Macaca mulatta: one gene and its partners. The protein of the gene in region 1 interacts with the protein of each later gene in a biochemical or structural test. Links are inferred from orthologs where the notes say so. Each region holds a gene or a part of one and is shown on either strand. Other genes may lie near its edges. The genes, in order: MCM6, MCMBP and CDC7.

What was found.
Region 2: the proteins of MCM6 (region 1) and MCMBP form a complex in vitro, tested with the Homo sapiens proteins (2 studies listed by BioGRID). The link is inferred for Macaca mulatta from reciprocal best matches to the Homo sapiens genes MCM6 and MCMBP.
Region 3: of the proteins of MCM6 (region 1) and CDC7, one has a biochemical effect on the other in vitro, tested with the Homo sapiens proteins (2 studies listed by BioGRID). The link is inferred for Macaca mulatta from reciprocal best matches to the Homo sapiens genes MCM6 and CDC7.

Annotation. Positions count from the first base shown.
Region 1 is NC_133417.1:27,473,961-27,477,614, reverse strand, and holds part of MCM6 (DNA replication licensing factor MCM6), read left to right. Parts: intron 1-963; coding exon 964-1,105; intron 1,106-3,654. UniProt on the Homo sapiens protein: Acts as a component of the MCM2-7 complex (MCM complex) which is the replicative helicase essential for 'once per cell cycle' DNA replication initiation and elongation in eukaryotic cells.
Region 2 is NC_133414.1:131,947,702-131,951,355, reverse strand, and holds part of MCMBP (mini-chromosome maintenance complex-binding protein), read left to right. Parts: intron 1-175; coding exon 176-327; intron 328-2,027; coding exon 2,028-2,128; intron 2,129-3,654. UniProt on the Homo sapiens protein: Associated component of the MCM complex that acts as a regulator of DNA replication.
Region 3 is NC_133406.1:148,801,771-148,805,424, reverse strand, and holds part of CDC7 (cell division cycle 7-related protein kinase), read left to right. Parts: intron 1-115; coding exon 116-199; intron 200-523; coding exon 524-659; intron 660-3,654. UniProt on the Homo sapiens protein: Kinase involved in initiation of DNA replication. Phosphorylates critical substrates that regulate the G1/S phase transition and initiation of DNA replication, such as MCM proteins and CLASPIN.

The DNA of each region.
Region 1 (3,654 bases):
CGATGGAGTTCACAGAGTAGATAATTCCACAGAAAAATGTTTAATAGCACAGTGTGCTATTAAGAAAATTGTTTTTTGGCCGGGCGCGGTGGCTCAAGCCTGTAATCCCAGCACTTTGGGAGGCCGAGACGGGCGGATCACGAGGTCAGGAGATCGAGACAATCCTGGCTAACACAGTGAAACCCCATCTCTACTAAAAAATACAAAAAACTAGCCAGGCGAGGTGGTGGGCGCCTGTAGTCCCAGCTACTCGGGAGGCTGAGGCAGGAGAATGGCGTGAACCCGGGAGGCGGAGCTTGCAGTGAGCTGAGATCCGGCCACTGCACTCCAGCCCAGGCGGCAGAGACTCCGTCTCAAAAAAAAAAAAAAAAAAATCGTTTTTAAGAAACAATTTTTTTTTTAAGAAAATTGTTTTTCCTTCTTACTGGATTTATGAACTAAGCAGCTGTAAATTGCATTCAGCATCTTATTTAATCCACATAAATTCAGTTAACATACATTTATTCAGTACTGGTCACTGTAGGTGATAGAAAAGTGTTATGAACCATTTCCTCAAACTCTTGACAGAACTATAAGAACTGGCATTAAAAAGGACTAGCAAATGTGGTAGGCTGTGGTGGACATAGTTCATTTATCAGGAGAGATCGTTGAGGGCTAAGGCATTGGGTAAGGTTTTGTGTGGGAGGTAGGACTCATGGACAAGTAAAGGCTCTGGCTTTTAGGATAGTGAGCACTGGCACAGTGACATCTGTGGTGTAGGAGAAGACATTAGAACAGTGGTTTAGGTGACTAAGTCCACAGAGCAAGAACCAAGATCAGAAGCCAGGTATTATTACTCCAGTTTTATGCTTTGCTTTAGCTGACTCTACCTTTTGGTTGGTAAACATGCCTTTACTGTTTCCTCTGAAAGTGTTTAACTTTATGTTGAAAAATTAGTTTTTCATCTATAGCTTTTCATTTCAGGCAATGATGAAGTAAAACGGGGTGTCCTGCTGATGCTCTTTGGTGGCGTTCCAAAGACAACAGGAGAAGGGACCTCTCTTCGAGGGGACATAAATGTTTGCATTGTTGGTGACCCAAGTACAGCTAAGAGCCAATTTCTCAAGTAAGCATTTGCCTGATATAGTATAGCAGGAAAAAGTGTACATAGTTCCCAGGCTGGCTGTGCTACCAAGAATACAGTCACCATGGCCTTACTAGGAGTGTAAATTATGACTATGTTAAATATATAATTCTCATAAAGATATGGCAACATTTTACAATTTTTTAGAATAGGGAAAAATTGCCTGCAATACCAATCTCACATTGAACTCTTTAGTCTTTGTATAATATCTTTGTACAAAAGTGTTTGAATATGTGAATTATGTATTTTCATTATTGTAAATCATATTATACATACTTGTAATTTTAATTTTCCCTAAACATTTTTTCCATGTATCTTTTTGCATGGAAAAATCTCATGAGTTTCTCATTTTCACAGATGTCTTCTTTTGTTGGTATATTATAACTTACAAAATCATTTCCTTAGCCCTGTTAAATTTAACAGGATAGTTTATTATAATAATTATTGATATAGATGCAGTGAACATCATAATGTTATATACATTTTTTGTTTGTTTCCTCTGGGTATATTGCTAGATACAGGATTGTTGAGACTAAGAATACAAACATTTGTTAGGTTTTAAAATAGGATGTACTTTCTTTTTTTTTTTTTTTGAGACGGAGTCTCGCTCTGCCGCCCAGGCTGGAGTGCAGTGGCCGGATCTCAGCTCACTGCAAGCTCCGCCTCCCGGGTTCATGCCATTCTCCTGCCTCAGCCTTCCGAGTAGCTAGGACTACAGGCGCCCGCCACCTCGCCCGGCTAGTTTTTTGTATTTTTTAGTAGAGACGGGGTTTCACCGTGTCAGCCAGGATTGTCTCGATCTCCTGACCTCGTGATCCGCCCGTCTCGGCCTCCCAAAGTGCTGGGATTACAGGCTTTAGCCACCGCGCCCGGCCTGGATGTACTTTCTAAAGGGAATGCTATGAGATATTTTATGTTAACTTTGTCAGTAGGAACACTATTTTTGACTATTTTTAGAAGCTGTAATAAATACTTGGTTACTTTCAAACTTTTAAGAAACTTAGGGCCCAAAATAAAAGCAACCAGTTTCTGAGCACCTGCCATGTTCTCGGTGCTGTGTATGTGTTATGTCTTACTCTGGCAGCACCCAGACAGGCATGTGTATTATTCCCTTTTTTTCAGGGAGTCACAACCTCTCCAAGCCTACAAGAAATTTGCCCACTCTCTTGTAGGTGAAAGGTGACACTGAGCCATGAATATTAAAATTCAGATACAGTTGCCGTTGCCTGCAAAACGTGTGTACTTCGTGCTACATCAAACTGCCTTTTCTTTATTTGTTTTGGAAATTTGTAACATAGTACCATTTTAGAATATTGAACGTTTTTAGTTGGTTTGGAGTATTATGAGTAAATATTTCTTTTGAACATATCACGAACTGAGTTTTAGATTTTAAGATAGTAGTCCTGTGTTACAAAGGATGTTTTTTTTCTTGTCATTCTCTCTCCCCCCGCCGCCCAAAAAAAAAAGATGTACTACAGTGTTGCCTCTGGTAACAGTATCATGTGGTATGTGACAGTCTTAGTGAATTCTGTAGCATTTTTTATGTATAAAATCTGTGTATAATGATAGTTGGAGTATCCAATCTGGCTGCCTTTTTTTCTTGCCTAATTGCCCTTGATTAGAGCCATCAGTATAACGTTGAATAGAAGTGGCAAGAGCAGACATCCGTGTCTTGTTCCTGATCATAGGGGCAAAACATTCAGCCTTTCACCTTTGAGTTTGATGTTATCTGTGGTTTTCATAGATGCCCTTTGTCAGGTTAAAGAAAAAGCCCTTTATTAGACTTAGGAAAATCTTCTCTATTCCTAGTTTGTTTGGTTTTTATAATGAAAGGTGTTGGATTTTGTCAGATACTTTTTCTACATCTGTTTTGGTGGTCATGTAGTTGTTTTATTAATTTAGCATATTGATTGATTTTCAGATGTTAAACCAATCTTGCATTTCTGGAATAAGCCCCGTATCTAGTTTTGTTTTATTTTTAATTGCAAGACCTTCTGATAGTTGATTGTTGCTATTTATTACTATTAAAGGCTTTTAAAATTGATGTTTTAGCCAGGTGTGGTGGCTCACACCTGTAATCCCAGCACTTTGGGAGGCTGAAATGGGTGGATCACGAGGTCAGGAGATCAAGACCATCCTGGCTAACACAGTGAAACCCCATCTCTACTAAAAATACAAAAAAATTAGCCAGGTGTGGTGGCGGGTGCCTGTAGCCCCAGCTACTTGGGAGGCTGAGGCAGGAGAATGACATGAACCCGCGAGGCAGAGCTTGAAGTAAGCCAAGATTGCGCCACTGCACTCCAGCCTAGGGGACAGAGCAAGACTCCGTCTAAATAAATAAATAAATACAATTTAAAAATAAATAAATAAAATTGATGTTTTAGGCTAGAGTGGTAGCTCACGTCTATAATCCCAGCACTTCGGGAGGCCAAAGTAGGCGGATCACCTGAGGTCGGGAGTTCGAGACCAGCCTGGCCAACATGGTGAAACCCCATCTCTACTAAAAATACAAAAATTAGCCAGGCGTAGTG
Region 2 (3,654 bases), on another chromosome or scaffold:
CAGATCAAACAAAAGACTTTGTTAGTATGTGCTGTTTCCTTAAAAACTGTAACAACTTGAACTTTGCAAGCTCAGAAGCATCACATATGTCAAACTTGAAAGGCACTTATGGAACATTCTTTTTCTCCAGGAGGGCTTAGAAATGACTAAGTGCAATGCTATCCTTTGAATTTAGGGAGTGTTGGTGGTCTTCAATGGTGTGGAGAGCCAAAACGTTTGGAAACTGAAGCTTCTACTGGGCAACAGCTGAACTCTCTGAACTTCTCTTCTCCTTTTGATTTGAATTTTCCATTGCCAGGAGAGAAGGGCCCTGCGTGCCTTGTGAAGGTAATAAAACCTTTCTTAGGTCTGACATTGACATGTTATGTGTCTCAGAAAGTAGCTTAGTGTCTGAGCATTTGCATTCGTTTTCTTATGCTGGACTAGCTATAGCAAATCACTGCAAATTTAATAGCCTAAAGCAGCAAAAGTTTATCATCTTACAGGCTTTAGGTCAGAAATCCAACATGGTCTCACCGAGGTAAACTCCTTTGTATGTAGGAGTTGGACTACATTCCTTTCTTGGAGCCCCTAAGGGAGAATTTCCTTGGCTTGTGGCTCCTTCTTCCATATTCATAGCCAGCAACATTGCATTTGACCATTTTTTTCATGGTGACATCTCACCTGACCACAACCAGGAAAGGTTCCCCGGTTTTAAGAATCTGTGGATTACATGGGGCCCACACAGTTAATCGAGGATAATCCCCCCCATTTCAAGGTTATTAATCACACCTCTGCACGTTCCTTTTGCATATAAGCTAACATTCACAAGTTAAAAGAATCAAAGAACATCTCAAATGCAGAAGCAGAACAACTTTTAAATTGTCTGTTCCCTTCCTGTATCATTTCTAACATATAATCTTCATTTTTGTCTTCTTCCTTCTCTCAGCAAAACCTATTTCTCACTTGTATTTAAAATAAAACAGAAGGAAGAAAACTTTTAATAGTTTTTTCTTCCATCTTACTTATTCTAGTGTTTTGATGCTGATAAATGAGCAAGTGACAGAAGGTTTTAAAATGATTGTTAAGGATTTCCATCCTTTGTGCATTTTGGGTTTTCTTGTTTTGGGGGCAGGGGGGTTTGTTTTGTTTTATTGAGGCAGTCTTACTCTGTTGTCCAGGCTGGTGTGCAGTGGCATGATCTTGGCTCACTGCAACTTCTACCTCCTGGGTTCAGGCGATTCTCGTGCCTCAGCCTCCTAAGTAGCTGAGATTACAGGCATGTGCCACCACACCCAGCTAGTTTTTTGTATTTTTCCTAGAGATGGGGTTTCACTATGTTGGCTAGGCTGGTCTCGAATTCCTGACCTCAAGTGATCCACCCACCTCAGCCTTCCAAAGTGCTGGGATTCCAGGGGTGACCACTACACTCAGATTCTCAGTGGTTTTAATTGAAATGATACTTCAGTCATATGGCACAGGGACCAAAATGACTACTTTTTTCCCTGCCATGCTTCTGCCGGGTCTGTTCAGTAAATAAATGGCCTTGACGATTACTAAAGTCCATCATGACAATTTTGAATGTGTTTTTTTTTTTAAATTGTGAAAAATCTTCTGGCCATTCTAAGTTTTGTGTTAATCCAATGTTGCAGTTTATGAATAAATGCAAAGTTAATCATCTTGTTTTTGTTTTTCCTTTTCTTGATGTGGTTAATAGATTTTGAGATAGTGCACGTTTCTAGTTTTAACTGTCAGCCTTTGGGAAAAGCCCTTTTTTAATTTTAGAAAAAGACTTTTTTTTTTGTAGTACTGTGGTATATTGAAAAGAGATATTAGTCTGGAAGTTAGGCATCCTGTGTTTTGGTTTTTCACTTATTTGCTAACTAGCAGAGTGACTCTTGGTCTCAATTTATAAAAATTTATAAAATAAAGGACTTGCTTTAAGGTCCATTTCCTGATCTAAAATTCTAAGATGTTAGTACTCCAGGACTAGTATCTTAAGCTTTGTGTCTGTTCTAACAGTATGATTTCATGTGGTCTCTTGTTAGGTTTATGAAGATTGGGATTGTTTCAAAGTAAATGACATTCTTGAGCTGTATGGCATCCTGTCTGTGGATCCTGTGCTGAGTATACTGAATAACGATGAAAGGTGAGTCTGTGTGCTCTTTTTCTGGTCTCCTTTATTTTTATGTAATTTCAAGTTTTTGGGAAAGTTACAGGATGGTTTTGAAGAACTCGCTTCCCGGATGTACCAGTTGTAAACACATGCACCCCATGCGCTCTGTCATTCATTTGTGCTCTCTATGGATGCACACATTTTTCTGAAACACTTCAAAATATATTGCAGAAATCAAACCCTTTTACCCCAACTGCTTGTCAACATTTCCTAAGAGCACTGACTTTCTCATATGTAATCAGAGTACAGGTATCAAAACTAGGAAATTTGCCACAAATACACAATACACTAATCCACAGTCTATACTTAATTTTACTAATTGTCTTAATCATGTTCTTTCTTACACTTCTCCCTTCCGCATCCCCCAGTCCAGGGTTCGGAAGCTCGCTTATTCTCTATTTCTACTGAGTTCATACTGTATTTCTGATTCCAGTTCAGCACCACAGGTGTCGTTCTACTTGTTCTCCTTTCTGTGTTAGTGTAACTCTTAAACTTGATTCCCATTTTTCACAATCTGTCATTTGCACATTTGTACAACATAGAGAAGGGAATTTCAGAATTGTTAACTCATACCTCTATAAAACATAAACCTAAATAACTAGAGTTCAATCTGAAATAGTCCTCAGCCTTTGTCTTTCATGGTCTTGCCACTTTTTTTTTCCCCTTAAACAACAGAAATATATGTCTTCCAGTAGTTCTGGAGACTGGGAAGTCCAAAATCAAGTTCCCAGCAGATGTGGTTTCTAGTGAGGGCCCACTTCTGGTTTGCAGGTGGCTGTCTTCTCACGTGGTAGAGAGCAGAAAGCCTTGACGTTTTTGAAGAGTGTAAGCCAGTTACTTGTTTCCTCATGTACTTGTTACTTGTTAGACTCAATGTTGCGCATTTTTGGCAGGAATATTACAGAAGTGATGTATCCTCAGTATGTTAAAGCAGGAGGCATGCGATGTCAGTCTGTCCCGTTACTGGTGAGGTTAATTTTCATCAGTTGGTTAAGGTGTGTCTTCCAGATGTCTCTTCTCTAAAGTTACATTTCTCACTTTGTAATTGACAAGTAACTTGGAGGAAGATACTTTGGGACGTAAATATCCAGTTTCTCATTAAACTTTCACCAATTTATTTCAGCATTAATTGATGATTCTTGCTTGAATCAGTTATTACAACGTTGGCAATTCTCTAACTCAGTACATTTATTTATTGGCATTCTACTATAAAAGATATCTCTTCCATGTGTTTATTCAAGTAATTTATTTACTTATATTTAGTATGGACTAATAGATTCTGATTTTATTCAATGTTAGTATCATTATATTATTTTGAGACCCAAGTTTTCCCAGATGTAGCTAGTGGGAGCCACTTTAAGCAGGTGCTGGGTCCTTTTTTTGAGATGATCTTACTATTTTTTAACATTTATTTTCTGGCATATTAAGCTGTTGCAGCTTCATCATATACTTTGAAGATCTGAGTCCTAGATGTGCTCGTTGGTACTGGGTTAGCTTTG
Region 3 (3,654 bases), on another chromosome or scaffold:
AAACTTTTATGTATAATTAATTATGTTTTATAATTTCATTTAGCTTTTTAAATTTTAAGAAACTATAAAATATACTGTCATTGATTAAAAGTCTAAATTTTTGTTTCCTTGAAAGGTGTTAAAAAAGATATTGAGAAGCTTTATGAAGCTGTACCACAGCTTGGGAATGTGTTTAAGATTAAGGACAAAATTGGAGAAGGTAATTTGGGGATATGCTTTACTATTTTTACAAGGTCTTTTTTCCCTCCTGTTTTCCTTTTGTAATCTTGCTTTTCATTACTACTTCTTATTGAAAAATATACCACTTTTTAGACTATTAAGACCGTAGTTTTATTACTAATTATGGTAGCAGCTTTTCTTTTTCAACCTCAAAGAAAGAATAAATAATAAATATTTACAGTAAAATGAAATCCTGTTTTAATCTATTATGCCATTGAAACAGTTTTTACAATCTATTTTAGAATTGTTTCATTAACATTTTTAAAAACCCTGATATTGAAAAATTTAATACATTGTTTTACAGGCACTTTCAGCTCTGTTTATTTGGCCACAGCACAGTTACAAGTAGGACCTGAAGAGAAAATTGCTCTAAAACACTTGATTCCAACAAGTCATCCTGTAAGAATTGCAGCTGAACTTCAGTGCCTAACAGTGGCTGGGTAGGCAATTTAAACATATTTTAATTGAACTTGTATATAATTTATAAGATTTTAAAGTAGATGCTTAGCAGGGATGAGGAGATTGTATGTGAATTAAATACATTTTTCAGTCAAGTGTTTGCAATTTGCTAGCACTTTCCTTCTAACCTTGCAATAGTTAGTTAAATTTATAGTAATTCTTTTAGATTGGATTTCCCTTGAGGCTCGGCTTGATTTCCTGTCTTTTATCACTGCTTTTTGTAACCTTCCTGCCAAATCATAAACCTTGGCTTTCATGGTTTACATTATTTTGTAAATGTAGGGAACTCACATTTCACATTTCCCCAGCTATTGACGACCTCATCTAATATTTTATTTAGAATAATGGAATCATCTGGTATGGTTTCTCTCTGCTGGGTCATTTCTGTCAACATAAGGACATGATTTAGTATCTTATCCTCCTAAACTGCCCTCCTTCTTCCACCTGCTCCATCATTTCTTTGTTCCCTCCTTAACAGCCAGACTTCTCAACAATTATCTGCATACATTGTTCTCATTTCACACCTCCCTTTCACTAAATACTCACTGCGGCTGTTCTCCTCTAAACTGGAAACTATAGAGTCAGCCATTACTCTAGGCATCATTTAGCACAATTGACTTGAACCCTTATCTTGACTTCTGTACTGCCACACCCTCGTTGTTTTCTTCTTCCCTCATTTGGCCTTTCATTTTGTGTCTTTGCCAGCTCTTCCACTTCTATCTGACCCCTAAATGTTGGAGTTCCTCATGCTTGCTCTTGGGTTTCTCTGTATTCTCCTTAGTGTCCTCCATTTCCACATGATCTAAAGTAATGATTCCCACAAGTATATAGTTAATCTCAGACCTTTTATCGTAACTACAGGTTTGTATATATCCACTTGCCTATTTAACATTTCCATTTGGTGCCTGATAAATATCTCAAACCTAATATGCCAAAACTAAACCTTAACATGCCAAAAATAACCCCACCACAACAAATGTTCTTATCTACCCATCTCTGCAAATGGCCCATCTACGCACTTGTTCGGGCCAGAAACCTAGAAATCATCCTCATTTTCTGTTTCTCTCCTAAACCACATTAATCACTAAGTCCTAGCCATTTTGCCTCTAAAATATATCTAGAAGTTCATCCATGTCTATCTTCTCTGCCACTACCTCAGCTGAAGCCTAGACTATAACTGTAGCCTGCTGCGTCTTTCTCCCCTTCATTCTGTCTTCACACAGCAGCCAGAATGATCTTTAAAATATAAAATATATATGTATATAACTTAAATTGGGTCATTAGTTCCCCCACTTAAAATCTTTCAATGGTTTCCCTTTGTACTTTGAAAAAAAATTCAACCTTCTCATGCCCGTCTTCCCACCTCCTTCACTGTACTCCATTTCTTTAGTTTATCGAATTTGTCTCAAGAGCCTTCTTACCTCAGGGCCACTGCCCAGACTGTTTGCCCATTCAGGAAGGCCTCTCCCAGTCATTGCCTGCTGACCCTTTATCTTCTGATCTGAGCAAGAGTGAAACTGGACACAGGAGTTCATACTTGTAATCCCAGCACTTTGGGAGGATTGCTTGAGGCCAGGAGTTTGAGACCTGCCTGGGCAACATAGCAAGACCCCATCTTTACAAAAAACTTAAAAATTGGGCAGGCAGGGTGGCACACATCTGTAGTCCCAGCTACTTGGGAGACTGAGGTAGGAGGATCATTTGAGCCCAGGAGTTTGAGGCTGTAATGACCTGCGATCGCTCCACTGCACTCCATCCAGCATGGTCAGCAAAACAAGACCCTGTCTCTAAGGAAAAAAAAAGAGTGACACTGCTTAAAAGATGTCTTCTCTGAATTAAATTAGATTCTCCTATTTTCTTCTAATTGTCATAGCATCTTTTGATTTCTTTCAAAGCCCTTACCATAATCTGTCATTATAAGTTACCTTGTTATTATCTGTATTGTCCACTAGGTAGTAAACTCCATGAGGACAGAAATTCTGTAAATTTTATTCACTGTTGCATTACTAATGTCTGTAATCCCTAACAGCAAATAACAGTGCCCACTAAATATTGAATGAATGAATAAGTAAGCCTGTTTGTTTCAGCCCTCTGTGTACTATAGAAGACAAGAAAATGAGATGGCCTCTGTAAAGAACGCTTGCATACGTTCTTGTACCGTAAATGTGATCATTCCTTTTTCTATACTTTAACTGTCTCCCTCTACCACTTTTTCTTTTTCTGTGCTTAAAAAGGTACATGCTAAAAATGCCTTCATCTGATCTTACAGTGCAGTCAGGCAAATTGTCTTTAGGCTCAGCTTCCATTGTGTTTTATTTTCCTTTCTTCTGTTTTGTTTCTTCCTTTCCACTTAAATTGCTGTCTTAAAAATTACCAGTTAATTATTCTTTGCCAAACTAAAAGCCTCCCCTCAGTTGTTATTCTCTTTGACTTCCATGCTAATAACTCCTCCTTCAAAATTCCTTTCCTATTTGGCTCTCTAACTTGACTTCTTCCAAGCTTAGTTTTCTTTTCTCACTATTAATTTTCATGTCTCTAGGTATCACTTCTCTGCAAGTACTCTCACTGACTTCTCACTTGTCTTACTTAAGGTTTAGTCCCTTATCTAGATAGCTCTATCAAAATGATGAGGTCTGGTTTTAGCTGCTGCTTTTACTGGCTTTACTTATGTTTTGATATCTCTATTGTTTTCTTACTCAGGCTCAAAATCATAGAAATCACCTTTGTCCTATTTTACTCTTTTATGAAGCAGTGTAGCATAGTGATTAAGAGCATATGTCTGGAGCAAAATGCCTGGGTTCAAATCCTGGCTGTATGATCTATTAGTTTAGTGACCCTAATTTATTTATTACTGTTACCATCTTATCTGCTAAGTCTTATTAATTTTTTCCCTTTTTTCTCTCTCTGCCACTTCCCCAGTTACAACTATAATTACCTCGTTGGAATTATTATAGTAATGTCAAAACTGGTGCTGTT